2 linked regions of the Lytechinus pictus genome follow. The protein of the gene in region 2 purifies or fractionates together with the protein of the main gene of each other region. This does not show direct contact. Links are inferred from orthologs where the notes say so. Each region holds a gene or a part of one and is shown on either strand. Other genes may lie near its edges.

Evidence for each region.
Region 1: the proteins of cytochrome b-c1 complex subunit Rieske, mitochondrial-like (region 2) and complex III assembly factor LYRM7-like purify together in Homo sapiens (co-immunoprecipitation; 5 studies listed by BioGRID and IntAct, with this or other methods). This does not show direct contact. The link is inferred for Lytechinus pictus from reciprocal best matches to the Homo sapiens genes UQCRFS1 and LYRM7.

The regions. Positions count from the first base shown.
Region 1 is NC_087247.1:67,193,684-67,197,617, forward strand, and holds the start of complex III assembly factor LYRM7-like, read right to left. Parts: upstream 3,067-3,934; 5' UTR 2,848-3,066; coding exon 2,836-2,847; intron 1,295-2,835; coding exon 1,222-1,294; intron 1-1,221.
Region 2 is NC_087246.1:57,301,443-57,305,376, reverse strand, and holds the start of cytochrome b-c1 complex subunit Rieske, mitochondrial-like, read left to right. Parts: upstream 1-1,277; 5' UTR 1,278-1,624; coding exon 1,625-1,838; intron 1,839-3,934.

The sequences.
Region 1 (3,934 bases), on a different chromosome or scaffold from region 2:
ATATAGGCATAGAATTCTTTTCTGCCAATGAATAAACAAGAAAATGGCAAACCCTTTTTTTCATAGGCGGATCCAGGTGAGTTTCTTTTATCTCTAAATTAATTCTAACAACTACTTAAAAAAACCTTTCCATGACAGTTGATCAAAAATTTCAGCTCGAGATTTGCGCTCGCATCGATTGTTAAAAATGTATTAACCCATGCATGCTATTCATCGTTATAATAGTGCTTAAAATGTCCAGTTTTCGACCTTAATATCAACAAATTTTGTGCTCTCATTAGGCTTAAAGATTAATAAATAAGACAATAATATATCCACGAATTCCTAATAATCAAATTATTCCTTTTTCAGATTGGAATATCAACAAGTTTCATCTTGAGCTTAGGAAGAGGAATAGGAGGATGGTCATCATTTTCATATATGATGACATGTCTTTATATCCCGGTTCTAAATCAAAATACATGTAACACTAATAATATATCAGCTCGCGCCTTGTGCTCGCACCATTTATTCATTGTGATCCATATCCACTTCTCAATTTCCCTACACAGTGCTTGCAATAGTGCATAAATTGACCCTTTTTCACAATAGAAAATATTTTTTTGCAGCTCGCGCTTCACACTCACATTGACTTTCATAATAAAAGAAATGTATTTAGAAGATACCCAATTACCCATCCTTTTCATGATTTCCAAAACATTAACAGAGTGTCCGATTTTCAGGTCTAACTGTCAATGTATTCTCGCTTACACTTCGTGCTCGCATCAATAAAAATTATTTATTTATATACCGATTTTGTGCATGATTACAAAAAGTGCCTAGAATTTCCTGTTTTTACGCGGAATGACAAAATTTTCTGCTCGCGATTAGCATTCGCATTATTTGATTATTGAATTATGTTTTGTTTTCATGGGTAACTGAAAACTGTCCTTAAAATGTCCCTTTTCAGGCCCAGAACGTAAAAAAAAATAATGCTTGCACTTTGCTCTCGCAGTAATTATTTAGTTACATACACATCTTGTTCAAGATCACAAACACTGCTCAGAATGTTCAATATTTATATGTATAATATGTGTGAGTTTGTTTGTTTTGTGCGATCGAGCGCCTTTGTAATGTTGATTTGTGACTCATGATTTCCCCCCCCCCCCCCCATCTGAAAAACGGATCGATGCCCCTGGTCTATAGTGTCACTACCCTGTTTTGAAAATAAGAAATAATTACCTTCAAGAGCTTTAAAATCTCCAAGAAAAGTGCTTTGACTTGTTCTCTGCAGCAACTTATACAGAGATAGGACCTATGATTAAAATGAAAGATAAAAAAACTTTTTGTGTATGCCGTCTATTGGTGGAAAGTAAAATTGCAAGAAAGTTTTCCTTTTTCCCCCAAGAACAAGAGAAAATAAGCCAAACATTGCCAACCTCATTTCCCCACACAGTGAGTATTATGAATATTACAGAACCGGTCCTTGTTCATTGGGTGATTTCAAGTACAGAGATGCCAAGTTCAAAAAAATGTTATGCGTGAGATTTTCATGACTCGGCGTCTCTGCGCGCGCGCGCAAGATATGGGCTTCATCATGATATCGATCCATACTACAATACCATGCGATGCACGCAAGCGATTCATCGTATCACGGACTAGCTGTGCACTGACTGCACTCTCGATTCGTCTCGCGTGCCGGGGTAGACGCGACGGCGTGCGAAGGCGGTCGGCCAATGCGTATAATTTAGCGAATAATGCTACTTTTTCTCCTTTTTTATTCTGTCGGGTCCCGATGCATGAGAAAAAAGGGTGCCATGCGTGAGACGGACCCTGGATGCGTGAGTCTCGCTCACAATGCGTGAGACTTGGTAGCTCTGCAAGTACGGTGTTGAAATCTGGTGTATGACAACACCAACACCAGCCACAACAGTCAACACCGTACTTGAAATGATACTGGTGTTGAGATTGACCTAGGAAAATATGATGTATTTCCGGCAGTTCGTGTTGAGCGCTGGTGTTGAATGTTGTCTGCTTAACCAAGGAATTATAATTGATAATAATAATTATTCATAATCACGTCTTAAAATTTTAGTATTTGTTAAATAATAATTTTTATCTATAAATTGTTCTTCATAACGGCATTTTGTAACATCGCTAATCGCATTAGGCGTATGAAGATGTAAAAATAAATAAAATAAAAAACATTTAGGCCTACGTGATTTTTATCTTTAAAAGATGGACTTCCTAGGGTCTTAGGGAAATCCATCTTTGTTTACAAATGTCTCTTATACATATATGGCAGGCGGTTCAAGGCTTCATGATCTGATGATGAAGAAGTATATGTCAAAATATTAAAAAATATCATCATGGAGTCTTCAACTTCTCAGTCAAGGCTAGCCAGGCGGCTTCTAGAGAGTAAAAATCATTTACTAACGTAAGGTCACTTCTAGAGAGTAAAAATCATTTACTAACGTAATGAGAGTGACCTTACGTTAGTAAATGATTTTTACTCTCTAGAAGCCGCCTGGCTAGTCAAGGCTAGGACCCAGTATAGTATACTAATACTAACCTCGCAATACGTGTGAGTGGCTAGGACCTAGGTCGGCCGCGGACACAGGACTCGCAGTGGCAGTGGCGCTGGCCCTGGCGTCTTCATCCGCCCATCGTGGCATGGGCCATGCCCATGGGCATGGCGAGGGACCGGAGCTGAGTCCTATGAGTATGACTGAGCCAGCCCGCGAAGCCCGAGGTGATCGTGACCCCGTACAAACTCATATCAATTAACAAATATAAATTGTTTGAAAAGGTAGAGTCAATAGTTTGAATGAATAAATAATTTTCAAAATATTTTACCTGTGATCGCATCTTGGGACAGAGTTCAGTTTCCAACTTCGTTCGCGTTAATTCGCCTACCTCAAGTCAACCACTGAGATCAGTGACCTCAACCGGCCGGTGTAGCGGCGGATTCGATATCGTTTTTAATCGGAACCATATCCGCCGGGTTTGACGCGGCTTGAAGTTTGCAGATTTGGTTCCTCGGCGGATTTGGTTCTATTGACTATTATGTGTAATTCAGACAACCTCGGCAGCGCGCGCAAGCGGCTCTGGCAATGTCGATCGCAATGGGGGGGGGGGGGGATTTTCGTCCGCCTTTAGTGAATTTTTATTCAGGGGCGGATCCATACTGCGTTCGACAAAGGCTCGATGGGGGTGAGGATTAATAGGATAAATAATGTCTCGATATTTCATGTATTACATAGACCTGGCACACACGCCAAAACTTTGCTATTTATTATTATCAGATTTTGATGAAATTTTCATCATTTTGTTTTTTGTGAATTTGTATACTATTTTCAGTCCGCAGTATGCATCGATCTCTTTAAGTAACTGTGCTTTTTCACACCAATGTTAGTGTCAGTTTGCCAGACTGTTTGGCGAAAATGTGCACCCCCATACAGTGCGTATAAAAAAACGGGACAGTTTTGAAAAGTCTATAAAAAAATTGTTTCAAATTATGATATCTATATTTAGATGTTAATAGATGCTCTGAAATCTTATCTTTGAAATGCCATTTAAAAAAAATTGTTCATGCTTGAGCGAACACGGGACGTTTTGGTCGGGGGTTCAAAAAGAGGCTTGCGCCAAAATGGCAGAAATTAGAAATTTGATGATCAGACTTTTTGCTAATCAGCAGGCTTCCTTTTAACCTTTTCATTATCTTCGCCATGATTTTCGAATTATGCTGTCAAATTTTATTTACAAATGTATTTATTTACTTAAATTATTTTGTTTTTTCATTAAAACTTCTTTAACCTTTGAATTTTCCTTCATAAGTAAGAAAAGAAGACTTTTGTCGACCCAAGGAAGAAGATTTGCGTTATTAATCATGTTAATTGGGAGAAGTTGTAGTTATTCAAATCGTATTTTATTAGGTGAAAAAAATCACGTTATG
Region 2 (3,934 bases):
TCATTGATGAATCGTTTGTCATATTATTAGAATGAGCAAAAAGAGATGTTTTGGGGTATATTTTTAGCATCCAAAAGGGGAGAGTTGTTCATCAATGACATCATAGATCTTGGTCGCATTGCCAATGGGAGGATCTCCATAGCATTAGTGATCTTGACATTCAAATGCTCATAACTCTTCTATTGCTTGTCCTATTTTACTCAAACTTTTGTTGATCTTATTCTTTGATTTTTCTGCTTTCACAAAAGCTAACTTGCTCCAAGAGTTTCATTCTCCTTTAAGGCCGCAAGTAAAGGACATTTCGCACCAGAAAAAAAATTGACAAGCAAAAAAAAGGTCTTCAACCACAAATAAAGGACATTTCGCACCATAATAAATTTGAAAAGCAAAAAAAAAAGTCTTCACTTTCAAAGGGGGGGGGGTACACTTCTGTTTTAACGGCATTTTTACATTACAAATTTTAATTGTGCCTCTCAATGTGCCCCCCCCCCCCCACTAAACTGGAAATACGTATTTCTAGTTCAGTGCCCCCCCCCCCTCCGATCCGCCAGTGCATGGACCGAGGTATGGTGACCGTGTCCAAGCATAACGGACTCTTTTATTTTGTGACGGCACAGACAGACGAGCATGCAGTTATTATTATAACGTCGTGTGATAGGCCTACCAAATCCAATGAAATGACGTATACTGCATGAGTGATCCCAAAAATGAATGATTCAAGTGACTTTCCCAATATTCGCGTTGGACAGGCCTATACGATACCCCTTCTATATAATAAAAATGTAATTCACCGGCACTGTCCATTATAATTTGAAATTTATGGAATATATAGAGGAAACTGCTCGTATATTTTTGAAAAAAAAATCATAATTATAATGTATACAGTATGGGACAGTATGACAGATTCAACTTGTCTGATAACGTTATATCAATGTTTTGTATCGGAATTTTCCATTTTGGAACGTCATTATAGTCGCTTAAAAAGTTTTTTTTTTAAGTTTAAAAATGGAATCATAGTAATTCCGGGTACCTTCGAAAATAAAGCTTATAGAAATATAGAGAAACAAATGTGGAGGAGAATGAGATTCTAAAAATGACTGATCGAGAGCACTGGCCCCCTCGCTCGGGTTTGACTCCGACAAATTGTTTAAACTTTTGAACAATTAGTAAACAAAATATTGTGTAAAGTTGTGATTGTTTTTGAATAGTTAAAAAACTTTAAACAAAAAAATCATTTGTATGCTTCAACGAACATAATAGTGCATGCACTGGACCTCACGAAAATTGTTGAAATGGGTCTAGGTTGAGAACTATCGGTTGTACTATGGTCCGAGTTTTGCTTAGGGCGCGATGTTAATCTTTCAATGGAAAGGTAAAGGGTAAAAGGCACAATTATTACTCGGAATATGGTAATTTCTTGAAGTTAATGATATTGAAAAAGACAAATTCATTGATATCACAAATTTTTAGTGACAATTTATAACCGTTTACTGCAAACCCCGCAAACTCGAGCAAAATCATTGAGCAAACAAGATCATGATATCAGTGACGTCACAGGCCAACTTCCGGTGTTACTGTAACATCGAGAAAAGAAAACGCCGGGTGGGTTAATCAATTATTAAAAATGTTTTCGGCTGTTTCCAAAGTAGGGGTAGTTGCTCCATTTGTGTCCGCAACAGCTCAGAATGTAGGATCTCAGCTTAGACAAGCAGTCGTCACAGCTCCAACATTTTTTCACAAATTCACATTACCTGAGAAGGAAGACAGACTTACGTCTGAGAAGCTCGGCGCTTTGCTACCGAAGAGTCATGGTACACAGGCTACGTGTGGAGTCCAAGGTAATGTGCATTTTAGGGTAGTGTAACTAGTGAGAGCAAATGAGTAATATGAAAGTGATCTGGACTCTAAATCTAGTGACTTTTATTAAATTTCATGTATCAAACACAATCATTTTGGTTAATTATCAAATGTCCACCATAAATAATACTTGACTAGCCTTGCCGATGGCCACGGTCGGCTAGCATGGGCATGGCTAGAAATATCTGACTATAGACATATTATAGTGACCATAATTTGCGCACATTTTAAAAATTATCATGAAGTTGATATTCAATCAAAAATTTCTCACAGCTCATGCAAAATTAATCAAAATCATGAATACCAAACGGAAGGCAAGATCCTAAAAGTCAAATTCGCTTGACGGGATTATAATTATAAAGTAGGTCAAGGGTTTTGCTGGTATCGCTATCGACTAGTGCGCGCTCGGCTGAAAAAGTGTCATAAATAAGTGTGACCTTAATTTGCGCACAATCGTTTTGCAAGGCTTTAGAAAAGAAATCAAGCAGACAAAGGTAATATAATTGTATCAGATGGCAGTTAAAATGCCATAAATTCGGTTGGTATCACATTTTACTTATTTGGAGACTTCCGCTTGCAAACTGGCGAATTCTTGATGCTTGTCGAGAAGTTCGGATTTTCTCGGAGCGGAGGCATAAGGTAAAAAAATTTGCCGATGTTTTGCCAATATTTTCATTAATAGAGACCGTACCTTCAAGAAAATTACCATACTGGGCAGGCCTCTACAAAAAAAATTTTCATCACTTGCCCAACAGGGCAAGTGATGAAAATATTTGCTTGCCCGATAGAAAAAACTGCTTGCCCAATTTGTTTTATTATTATCTTTCATTGTTTTTTTTACGACGGTACTATTATTTATGAAGATCATATAAATAAAAACAATTGAGAATCATGTACAGTAAAGAACACACATTTATAATTATAAGTATATTTTCAGCAAAGTAGGCCTTAGTCATTACGTTTATTTTGAAGAAAAAAAAACTTTTGCTATAGCACTAGTAGATCTAAATGGGCGTTAAATGTTTTAAAAAAAATTGTTTTGATTTAGTTGGAAACTATTAAGAAAATGAAGAATATTCAGCTCTTTATTGATTCTGGAAAAGATCGTTTTATGATGTAAAAAAAAAAAAAAAGGCCTTCACCAACTGGACTCTGGAGTGGCTAAAATTTCACATTTTGCATCTTTAAATCCATGCCATTTATTTTCCATATTTCCTTGAAATTGTGTTGATTTAGATGGAAACTATCAAGAAAATTAAGAATATTCACCTCTCTCTTGTCTTTTCATCATCGTATTATGATGTTACACTCGGTCAATATTTTTTTATATTGTGGTCCCACATGTAGACTTTCATGGTGTTGCAACATTATACTTGGTCAACACCATGAAAGTCTACATGTGGGACAACAGTAAGAAAAAACATTTACCGAGCGTAACATCATCAAAATCAGAGTCAAGAAAGAGCTTAATATTCTTCATTTCTTCGGTTGTTTCCAACTAGATCAAAACAATCTAAAGGTAATATGAAAAATAGACGTCCATTTCATGTATTTAAAGATTAAAAATGTGAAACTTTAGCCACTTTCGCCTTTCTTTTTTTTTTTTTTGTGGAGGGGGGTTGCATCGGCAAATTGCGCAAGATAGTAGCGCATGCGCACATAGAACGTATGATGAGATGGCATGATTCTTCGAACGAGGTACCTGGCGATAAATTATCTGTATTTGGCGCTGATTTTACATCAGTTTCCACTGTTTTTTTACTGGTTTGACAATATATGAGAGATAGTTGTGATTATCACTGACATTTTATTATTTTATTTTCAAAACATTCACTTGCCCGATCAGGCAATTGACTTTGAGAAATGCTTGTCCGCCAGTCATTTTCACTTGCCCCGGGCAAGCGGGTTTGTCGCGCTCTGCTGGGTAATTTTAAGTCGCTCTTTCTGTTGGTGATATAAGTTTTTCAAAATATTAATTAGATATTGGGGTATTCGCCTGTGCGCAAAATCACAGTGTAGGTAATGCGCGAATTTAGGTCACACCACCATACATGTAATTGTATATTTTTGGCGCTAG